Linked DNA regions of Callithrix jacchus. The protein of the gene in region 1 interacts with the protein of each later gene in a biochemical or structural test. Links are inferred from orthologs where the notes say so. Each region holds a gene or a part of one and is shown on either strand. Other genes may lie near its edges. The genes, in order: APEX1 and MUTYH.

Region 1 (3,909 bases):
GAGAAATACAATGCAGATTTCTCTTCAGAGTGTTTAAAGAAGGAATGGTAGTTTAGGGGGATTATTTCCCAGGCTCCAAGTGATTTAGGGGTGGTGTCACAGTGCTAGGTATAGGGTGATAGGACAGTGATCACTGCCGAGAGCCTTGGAACGGATCTTGCTGTCACACAATGCAGGTAACAGAGAGTGGGACAACAAAAAATAATCAAGGCGCCAACCAACATTCTTGGATCGAGCATTCATCATGTAAGTCCAAAAGGTATAGGCATAGGCTGTGTTGGGGTATAGGTGCCTAAAGCTGTCAGCCAGTGGCACAGCCTGCAGTAATTCCCCAAAGCCTTGGCGCTCTTGTGGCGTGAAGCCAGCATTCTTTTTGTTTCCCTTGGGGTTGCGAAGGTCAATTTCTTCATGGGCTACATTGAGGTCTCCACACAGCACAAGGGGCTTTCGGGAAGCCAAGCCCTTCAGGAACTTGCGAAAGGCTTCATCCCAGCGCTGCCGGTACTCCAGTCGTACCAGACCCCGGCCTGCGTTAGGTACATACGCTGTTACCAGCACAAACGAGTCAAATTCAGCCACAATCACCCGGCCTTCCTGATCATGCTCCTCCTCACCTACAGAAATGATGAAACAGAATTAGCATAAAAAAACCACAAGAAAAGAGAAAGCAATCAAGAGGTGGGGCAGAGATGGAGAATTAGCTATTGGTTTTGAAGAGCTCAGGCATTAGGGATTAACAGGGTCTCACCTATGCCATAAGAAACTTTGAGTGGGCACTGGCGGGAAAGTAGGCCCACGCCACTGTACCCTTCCTTATCGGAGGGAGCTGACCAGTATTGATGAGGGAGTCCAGGCAGCTCTTGAAGTTCAGCTGGTAGTTTGTTCTCTGAACATTTGGTCTCTTGAAGGCACAGTATATCTGGGGCTTCTTCCTTTACCCACTATAAGTGAAAAGGTGGAAAACATCAATTCAGCAGAACATTTACTGAATATGTGCTAAGTCATAGATATGCACAGGTTAAACAGTCCCTTGGCCTAATGAGTTCAAGTAGTACAACATTTAAACAATTATAAGCTATATAAATAAAAACTAATAGAGGAAGATAAAGTATTACACGCTCTACTAAGGAGATTGTGTTTTTTCCATAGGCAGTGGATGGCAAGCTAAGATTTTAAGCTATAGTTAATGGAATGGAGGACATGCTGAAGATAAAATGGAGGAAGTATAGAAAAAAGGTTTTTGCAACAGTCTGGGAAGAGGAGAGAACATTAAACGAAAATGGCAATGGAAGTGAAGAAACGGACATTTAGAAACACGACTGGCAAAATGTGGGGAAGCCCCACATAAAGCTCTCCTGGGCAGGAGAAAAACAAAACAGCCTGAAGGCTAAACGGAAAAAAGGGGTGACTAAACCCCTAAGATCATTCAATACTAAAGAATATCTCTACCAAAGTAGAAAATGATATTTAAAAAAAGGAAAAAATACTCTCTTCCCCTCCTTAAATTCCACTTACATCTAATCCTTTCTTCTTAATCCAGGCTCGAAGCCCATCCACATTCCAAGAGCAGATCTTGAGTGTGGCAGGTTTGCCACTGGGTGAGGTTTTCTGATCTGGGGGGTCCTCATACAGGGCTGGGCCCTCTCCTGCTGCCTCTTTGTCGTTTTTCTTTGCGGCCGTCTTACTCTTCTTGGCCTCTGGCTCTATAAAATGAGTAATACATAGTGACAAAAAGTTGGTAGTTTCCAACCTCGATCCGGCGTTAACTATAAACCCAACAAAAGTGTGATGTTACCGCTACTTCTTCACAAACCCCTTAAAAAATGAGCGGCCTGTAGTTACCGTTATCAAGGAAATTCCCGCCGCAGCTTCTAGGAAGAGGGGCTTATTTCATTCTCTTACCCGTCTTGAGCTCTTCCCCGTCTTCTGCCACCGCTCCCTTTTTCCCACGCTTCGGCATTCCCGTAACGAACGCCCTTCGGAGGCACCTGTACCGTGTCGCCCACCGAAGGAGTATTTTTACCGCGTTGCCTACAGACGCAAATAAATGAAATCAGCTAAACCTGGGGAGAAGACTCCTCCCCTAAAGCGTCCCCGCACCAGGTCCCCGCTTTTCAAACCATGTTATGTCTCAATCCTTTCCCAGCCTCCGTGCATCATATGCCCTTCAGCCCCTCACCCACTAACAAGATCATTTCATAGTGCCTTTTACCCTACTGGCGAGATCTGCCCTCCAGCTGAGGATCTTAATTAAGGATCCTGACTCAAGCTTGCCGTTCAGACTGCCAGCGAAGCCCCTCTTACGAGCAGAAGAGTAACCCCGTATCTGCCTGCACTGGTCAGAACGCAGCACAGCTCCTCCTAACCCGAGCACAAAGAACGGTGCACGCTGTGCCCCCACGTGGGTAGCGGATCTGGTCACGTGATCCGAGACTCCAGTCACGTGGCAGAAGAATGTGCGTGATTGGTCTGTCTGGTACCACGTAATGGAGACACTTGGCCTAGCCTCCCTTCTCCCCAGGAGACTTAAGGCCCCAACCCTCCTTCGGGGTGTTTATTGTTGTGCCAGATGCACGGCACATTCTCTGAATGTGGCTTAAGATCCTAATGCTGTGCAAGAGGGGAAAAAAACAATAGCGAAGGCTGGGCTGGACCATAGGAAAGGGATAGAAAAACTGATAGGAATGTAAAGCACAGAGGCGGCTCGGCGTCCCTGGCAGTTAGGAAGACAGGTCCCTGGAGGGGCCTTGACGGGTCTCCGCTCGCGGGAGTTCTGTGGTGTCTCTCGCAGTGCTATCTGCAGTCTCGCCTTCTTCTTCTGTGCCCCGGAAAGCTGCGGCACAGCGCGGACTTGGAAGGACCTCCACTTCTTAGGTTGCTAGGAGTCCTGTCGGCGTTTTCTCCCCGGCTTCGCCATGCCGGCGGTGCTCGGTTTTGAAGGCAGCGCCAATAAGATTGGCGTGGGAGTGGTGCGGGATGGCAAGGTGCTGGCGAACCCGCGGCGGACTTATGTCACGCCTCCGGGCACAGGTGGGTTAGTAAGGGACTTGAGAGTTTTCCGCGCACTTCCCCGCACGGAATTAGTCTTCCATCTTCCTAAATACTAGTTAAGTGGGGCCTTGGGTGCATTGTCCGTTCTTACAGCTTTTGATCCGAGTCTCAGGGAAATTATGTGACTTTATTGACATCACAGGGCTGATAGCTAGAAGAGGTATAGGCACTTGGAGGTGGATCTGAGAAGTTAGTTTACCTTTTATTGAGCGCATTTTATGTGCTAAGCGTTTAGAAATAGATGTTATGATTTTGTTGTGGAATCAGATATATAAATAGATGTTTATTCTTCAGCATGATAAACAGTGTAATAGAGATGGATTCGAAACATTCTGTTTAAAAAATGCTTAGTAGGAATATAGATTCCAGTTGCCCTGAATATACACTCCTTTTTTTTTTTTTTTTTTTTTTTTTCAGACGCAGTTTCGCTCTTGTTACCCAGGCTGGAGTGCAATGGCGCCATCTCGGCTCACTGCAACCTCCGGCTCCCGGGTTCAAGCAATTCTCCTGCCTCAGCCTTCCACGTAGCTGGGATTACAGGCACACGCCACCATGCCCAGCTAAATTTTTTTGTATTTTTGGTAGAGACGGGGTTTCACCATGTTGACCAAGATGGTCTCGATCTCTTCACCTCATGATCCACCCGTCTCGGCCTCCCAAAGTGCTGGGATTACAGGCTTAGGCCACCGCGCCCGGCCCGAATATACACTCCTGTTAAAAAAAAAAAATGCTTTAAAAAAAATAGGATGGGGAGAGAGAAGAGTGGAAAAGACTCCCAGCTTACATGCCAGACAGAACTGGCTGGCTTTGTAATATTCATATTAAATATGTTCTGGACATTTGGTCTTTATTTTTATT
Region 2 (3,809 bases), on another chromosome or scaffold:
TGGTCACAGGAAGCAGGCAGCCAGCCAGGAACAGAGGCAGAAACATGCTAAGAGCAGCAGTCAGGCCAAGGCTTCTACCCCTAATGGTAAGGAACTCAGTTGTGGTCCAAGGCTCATCAGCCATGAAAGGGGGCAGATACAGGCTGGGAAGGGATTGTGATAAGTGTCATTAAGAGACTTACTAAGGGCCAGGTGTAATAGCTCACACCTGTAATCCCAGCACTTTGGGAGGCCAAAGTGGGTGGATCCCTTGAGCCCAGGAGTTTGAGACCAGCCTCAATAATATGGTGAAACCCCATCTCTATGCTTATGTGGTGGTGAGCATCATGTAGTCGCAGCTACTCTAGAGGCTGAGGTAGGCTGATTGCTTGACCCTGGAAGGCAGACGTTGTACTGAGTGGAGATAGTGCCACTGCACTCCAGCCTGGGCAACAGAGCCAGACTCTGTCTCAAAAAAAAGAAAAAGAGAGACTCACTAAGGGTATAATTCTGACTATATTGCTGTGTGACATTAGGATAATTGCTCTGAATGGCTGCTTTCTTACCAGTCAAATGGAGCAGTAGTTCAGCATTTCTTCCTTCATGTGGCTTTCATGGGACCAAATGAGTTTATGAGCCTGAAAATGTTTTGTAAATAAGAAAGCCCTGCACAGGTATAAATTATAGCTGGCTAAACTCTTAGGTTTTCATTACAGCTCAGAAACAAAGAAGCCAATAGTACCACCCTGAGAAAATTAAGGCCAGAAACTTAGCCACAGTTACATGCAATTACAGAACTCTGGTCTGACTCCAGCTCCAAAGCCTAAGGGGATTGGTTGGAGGAAGCCCTAAGTGGGAGCATACTGTCACAGGCTGCTGTGTCCCAAGACCCCGGTGCACAGCTTGTGCAGGGATGATTTCTGAGTGTCCTGGGGCTCCAGCAGGCCTGGCCAGACAGCTGGAAGAGGTGGTATTGCAGGCCTCTGTCTCCCCATACCATCTATTCAGAGACATAGCTGAAGTCACAGCCTTCCGAGGAAGTCTGCTAAGCTGGTATGACCAAAAGAAGCGGGACCTACCGTGGAGGCGACAGGTAGGCAGGCGAGGAACAGGGACAGTGGGTGGAGACAGGTATCCATCCCCCTCCACCCTAACTCCTCATCTGGGGTTACATTGACAGGCAGAAGATGAGGTGGACCTGGACAGGCGGGCATATGCTGGTCAGTACATCTCCTGAGAGCAGGGCACTTTGCATCAAGGACCTTGGGTCTGGAGGCTGTGGGCCAGGATAGGGCAGGTCAGCAGTGTCCTCATGCCAACTCCTTTCCCCCAGTGTGGGTCTCAGAGGTCATGCTGCAGCAGACCCAGGTTGCCACGGTGATCAACTACTATACCAGATGGATGCAGGTGACTCCAGGGGAGGAAGGGGAGGGTCATGGGTCAGACCCCAGATGAGAGCCTCTACTTTGGGGTAGGTGTAGAGAAGGCTTCCTCTACCACCCTCACCCTTGACCTTGTCTCTTTCTGCCTGCCTGTGGCTGTAGAAGTGGCCTACACTGCAGGATCTGGCCAGTGCTTCCCTGGAGGTGAGAGCTACCCAAGGGTAGAGGGAATAGGAACAATGGAGGGGCTGACAGTGATCTCTCTGACCTCTGATCCCACCCACAGGAGGTGAATCAGCTCTGGGCCGGCCTGGGCTACTATTCTCGAGGCCGGCGGCTGCAAGAGGGAGCTCGGAAGGTAAGGGGATGGCAGGAGGGTGGGAACCTAGGAGTCTTGGTATCTCATAAGCTTGAGTCTTGCACTCCAATCAGGTAGTAGAGAAGCTAGGGGGCCACATGCCACGTACAGCAGAGACCCTGCAGCAGCTCCTGCCTGGTGTGGGGCGCTACACAGCTGGGGCCATTGCCTCTATTGCCTTTGGCCAGGTAAGCCCACAGTCCACCCCCATTTTGTATATGCTCAGCCTCCTTCCTCCCAGCCCAGGCTGACTCTTTGGCTCCTCTTTGCCAGGCAACCAGTGTGGTAGATGGCAACGTAGCACGGGTGCTGTGCCGTGTCCGGGCCATTGGTGCTGATCCTAGCAGCAAACTTGTCTCCCAGCAGCTCTGGTAGGATGTCAGGGTGACAAGGGTGCTTCAGGGGTGTTTCCAAAGGAGCTTTGGCTCATAGCAGTGTTCCCTTCTTTTAGGAGTCTAGCCCAGCAGCTAGTGGACCCAGCCCGGCCAGGAGATTTCAACCAAGCAGCCATGGAGCTAGGGGCCACAGTGTGTACTCCGCAGCGCCCACTGTGCAGCCAGTGCCCTGTGCAGAGCCTGTGCCGGGCACGCCAGAGAGTAAGCCTAATTGGGAAGGGGCAGTGAGGAGTCCTAAGGAGTGACTCTGCCCCATGACACCCAACCCTGTGCCTCTCAGGTGAAGCAGGAACAGCCCTTAGCCTCACAGAGCCTGTTGGGCAGTCCTGACATAGAGGAGTGTGGTGAGCACCAAACCTAGCCCTCTCCCCAGCCCTTCCTGGCCCTGTCAGAAGCCTCATTCCAGTTCCTCCTCTAACCTTAGTAAGAGTCTGCAGAACCCGGCCAAAGCCTGCTCTCTAGGCTTGGCACCTGAGCTGTCTTGGCCTGAGTAGGGCTCAGGGATCTCCATTCCCAGCTCCCAGCACTGGACAGTGCCAGCTGTGCCTGCCACCCTCGGAGCCCTGGGACCAGACCCTGGGAGTGGTCAACTTCCCCAGAAAGGCCAGCCGTAAGCCCTCCAGGGAGGAGAGCTCTGCCACCTGTGTTCTGGAACAGCCCAGGGCCCTTGGGGGTGCCCGAATTCTGCTGGTGCAAAGGCCCAACTCAGGTAGCTGGATACTGTGCATGGAGGGCAGTGGCATGAGTAACAAGGGAGAATGGAAGGAATTGGCAGCTGACCCCTGCCTGCCTGCCCTCCCTCTCAGGTCTGCTGGCAGGACTGTGGGAGTTCCCGTCTGTGACCTGGGAGCCCTCAGAGCCGCTTCAGCGCAAGGCCCTGCTGCAGGAACTCCAGCGTTGGGCTGGGCCCCTCCCAGACACACACCTCCGGCACCTCGGGGAGGTAAGTGAGCAGCGGGAGGGCCAGCGATGTTGGCTTTTGAGGCTATATCCACAGGCCTATTTGAACCCCTTGGCCCTTCCTCCAGGTTGTCCATGTCTTCTCTCACATCAAGCTGACATATCAAGTATATGGTCTTGCCCTGGAAGGGCAGACCCCAGTGACCACTGCACCACCAGGCGCTCGCTGGCTGACCCGGGAGGAATTTCACACTGCAGCTGTCTCCACTGCCGTGAAAAAGGCATGACCTTTGTTGTCTTTGTTGTATTTCTTTGTGTTTCCTACATGTTCTATATGAACATATTACTGTGTAAACAGGGGAAAAAGCATGTTTGATTTTATTGTTTGAGATGGAGACTCACTCTGTTGCCCAGGCTGGAGTATAGTGGTGCGATCTTGGCTTACTGCAACCTTTGCCTACTAGGTTCAAGTGATTTTTGTGCTTCAACCTCCTGAGTAGCTGGGATTACAGGTGTGCACCACCATAACCATACCCAGCTGTTTTGTACTTTTTGTAGAGATGGGGGTTTTACCATGTTGGCCAGGCTGGTCTCAAACTCCTGGCCTCAAGTGATCCACCCACCTCATCCTCCCAAAGTGCTGGGATTACAGGCGTGAAGCACTGCACCCGGCCAAAAAAAAAAAAAACACGCTTTTTATTTTCTTTTTTTGAGACAGAGTCTCACTGTGTTGCCCAGGTTGGAGTGCGATGGCACAATATTGGCTCACTGCAACCTTGCCTCCCAGGTTCAAGT

The links.
Region 2: the proteins of APEX1 (region 1) and MUTYH form a complex in vitro, tested with the Homo sapiens proteins (3 studies listed by BioGRID and IntAct, with this or other methods). The link is inferred for Callithrix jacchus from reciprocal best matches to the Homo sapiens genes APEX1 and MUTYH.

What each region holds. Positions count from the first base shown.
Region 1 is NC_133509.1:55,179,355-55,183,263, reverse strand, and holds the start of APEX1 (DNA repair nuclease/redox regulator APEX1), read right to left. Parts: upstream 2,382-3,909; 5' UTR 2,305-2,381; exon of another isoform or gene 2,213-2,304; intron 2,032-2,212; 5' UTR 1,961-2,031; coding exon 1,903-1,960; intron 1,704-1,902; coding exon 1,516-1,703; intron 942-1,515; coding exon 749-941; intron 615-748; coding exon 97-614; 3' UTR 1-96. Other genes in the region: OSGEP (tRNA N6-adenosine threonylcarbamoyltransferase), read left to right, coding at 2,916-3,030.
Region 2 is NC_133508.1:82,042,450-82,046,258, reverse strand, and holds part of MUTYH (adenine DNA glycosylase), read left to right. Parts: coding exon 1-86; intron 87-920; coding exon 921-1,072; intron 1,073-1,159; coding exon 1,160-1,199; intron 1,200-1,312; coding exon 1,313-1,386; intron 1,387-1,523; coding exon 1,524-1,565; intron 1,566-1,647; coding exon 1,648-1,719; intron 1,720-1,793; coding exon 1,794-1,907; intron 1,908-1,992; coding exon 1,993-2,090; intron 2,091-2,170; coding exon 2,171-2,315; intron 2,316-2,394; coding exon 2,395-2,458; intron 2,459-2,631; coding exon 2,632-2,823; intron 2,824-2,920; coding exon 2,921-3,057; intron 3,058-3,142; coding exon 3,143-3,295; intron 3,296-3,809. UniProt on the Homo sapiens protein: Involved in oxidative DNA damage repair. Initiates repair of A*oxoG to C*G by removing the inappropriately paired adenine base from the DNA backbone. Possesses both adenine and 2-OH-A DNA glycosylase activities.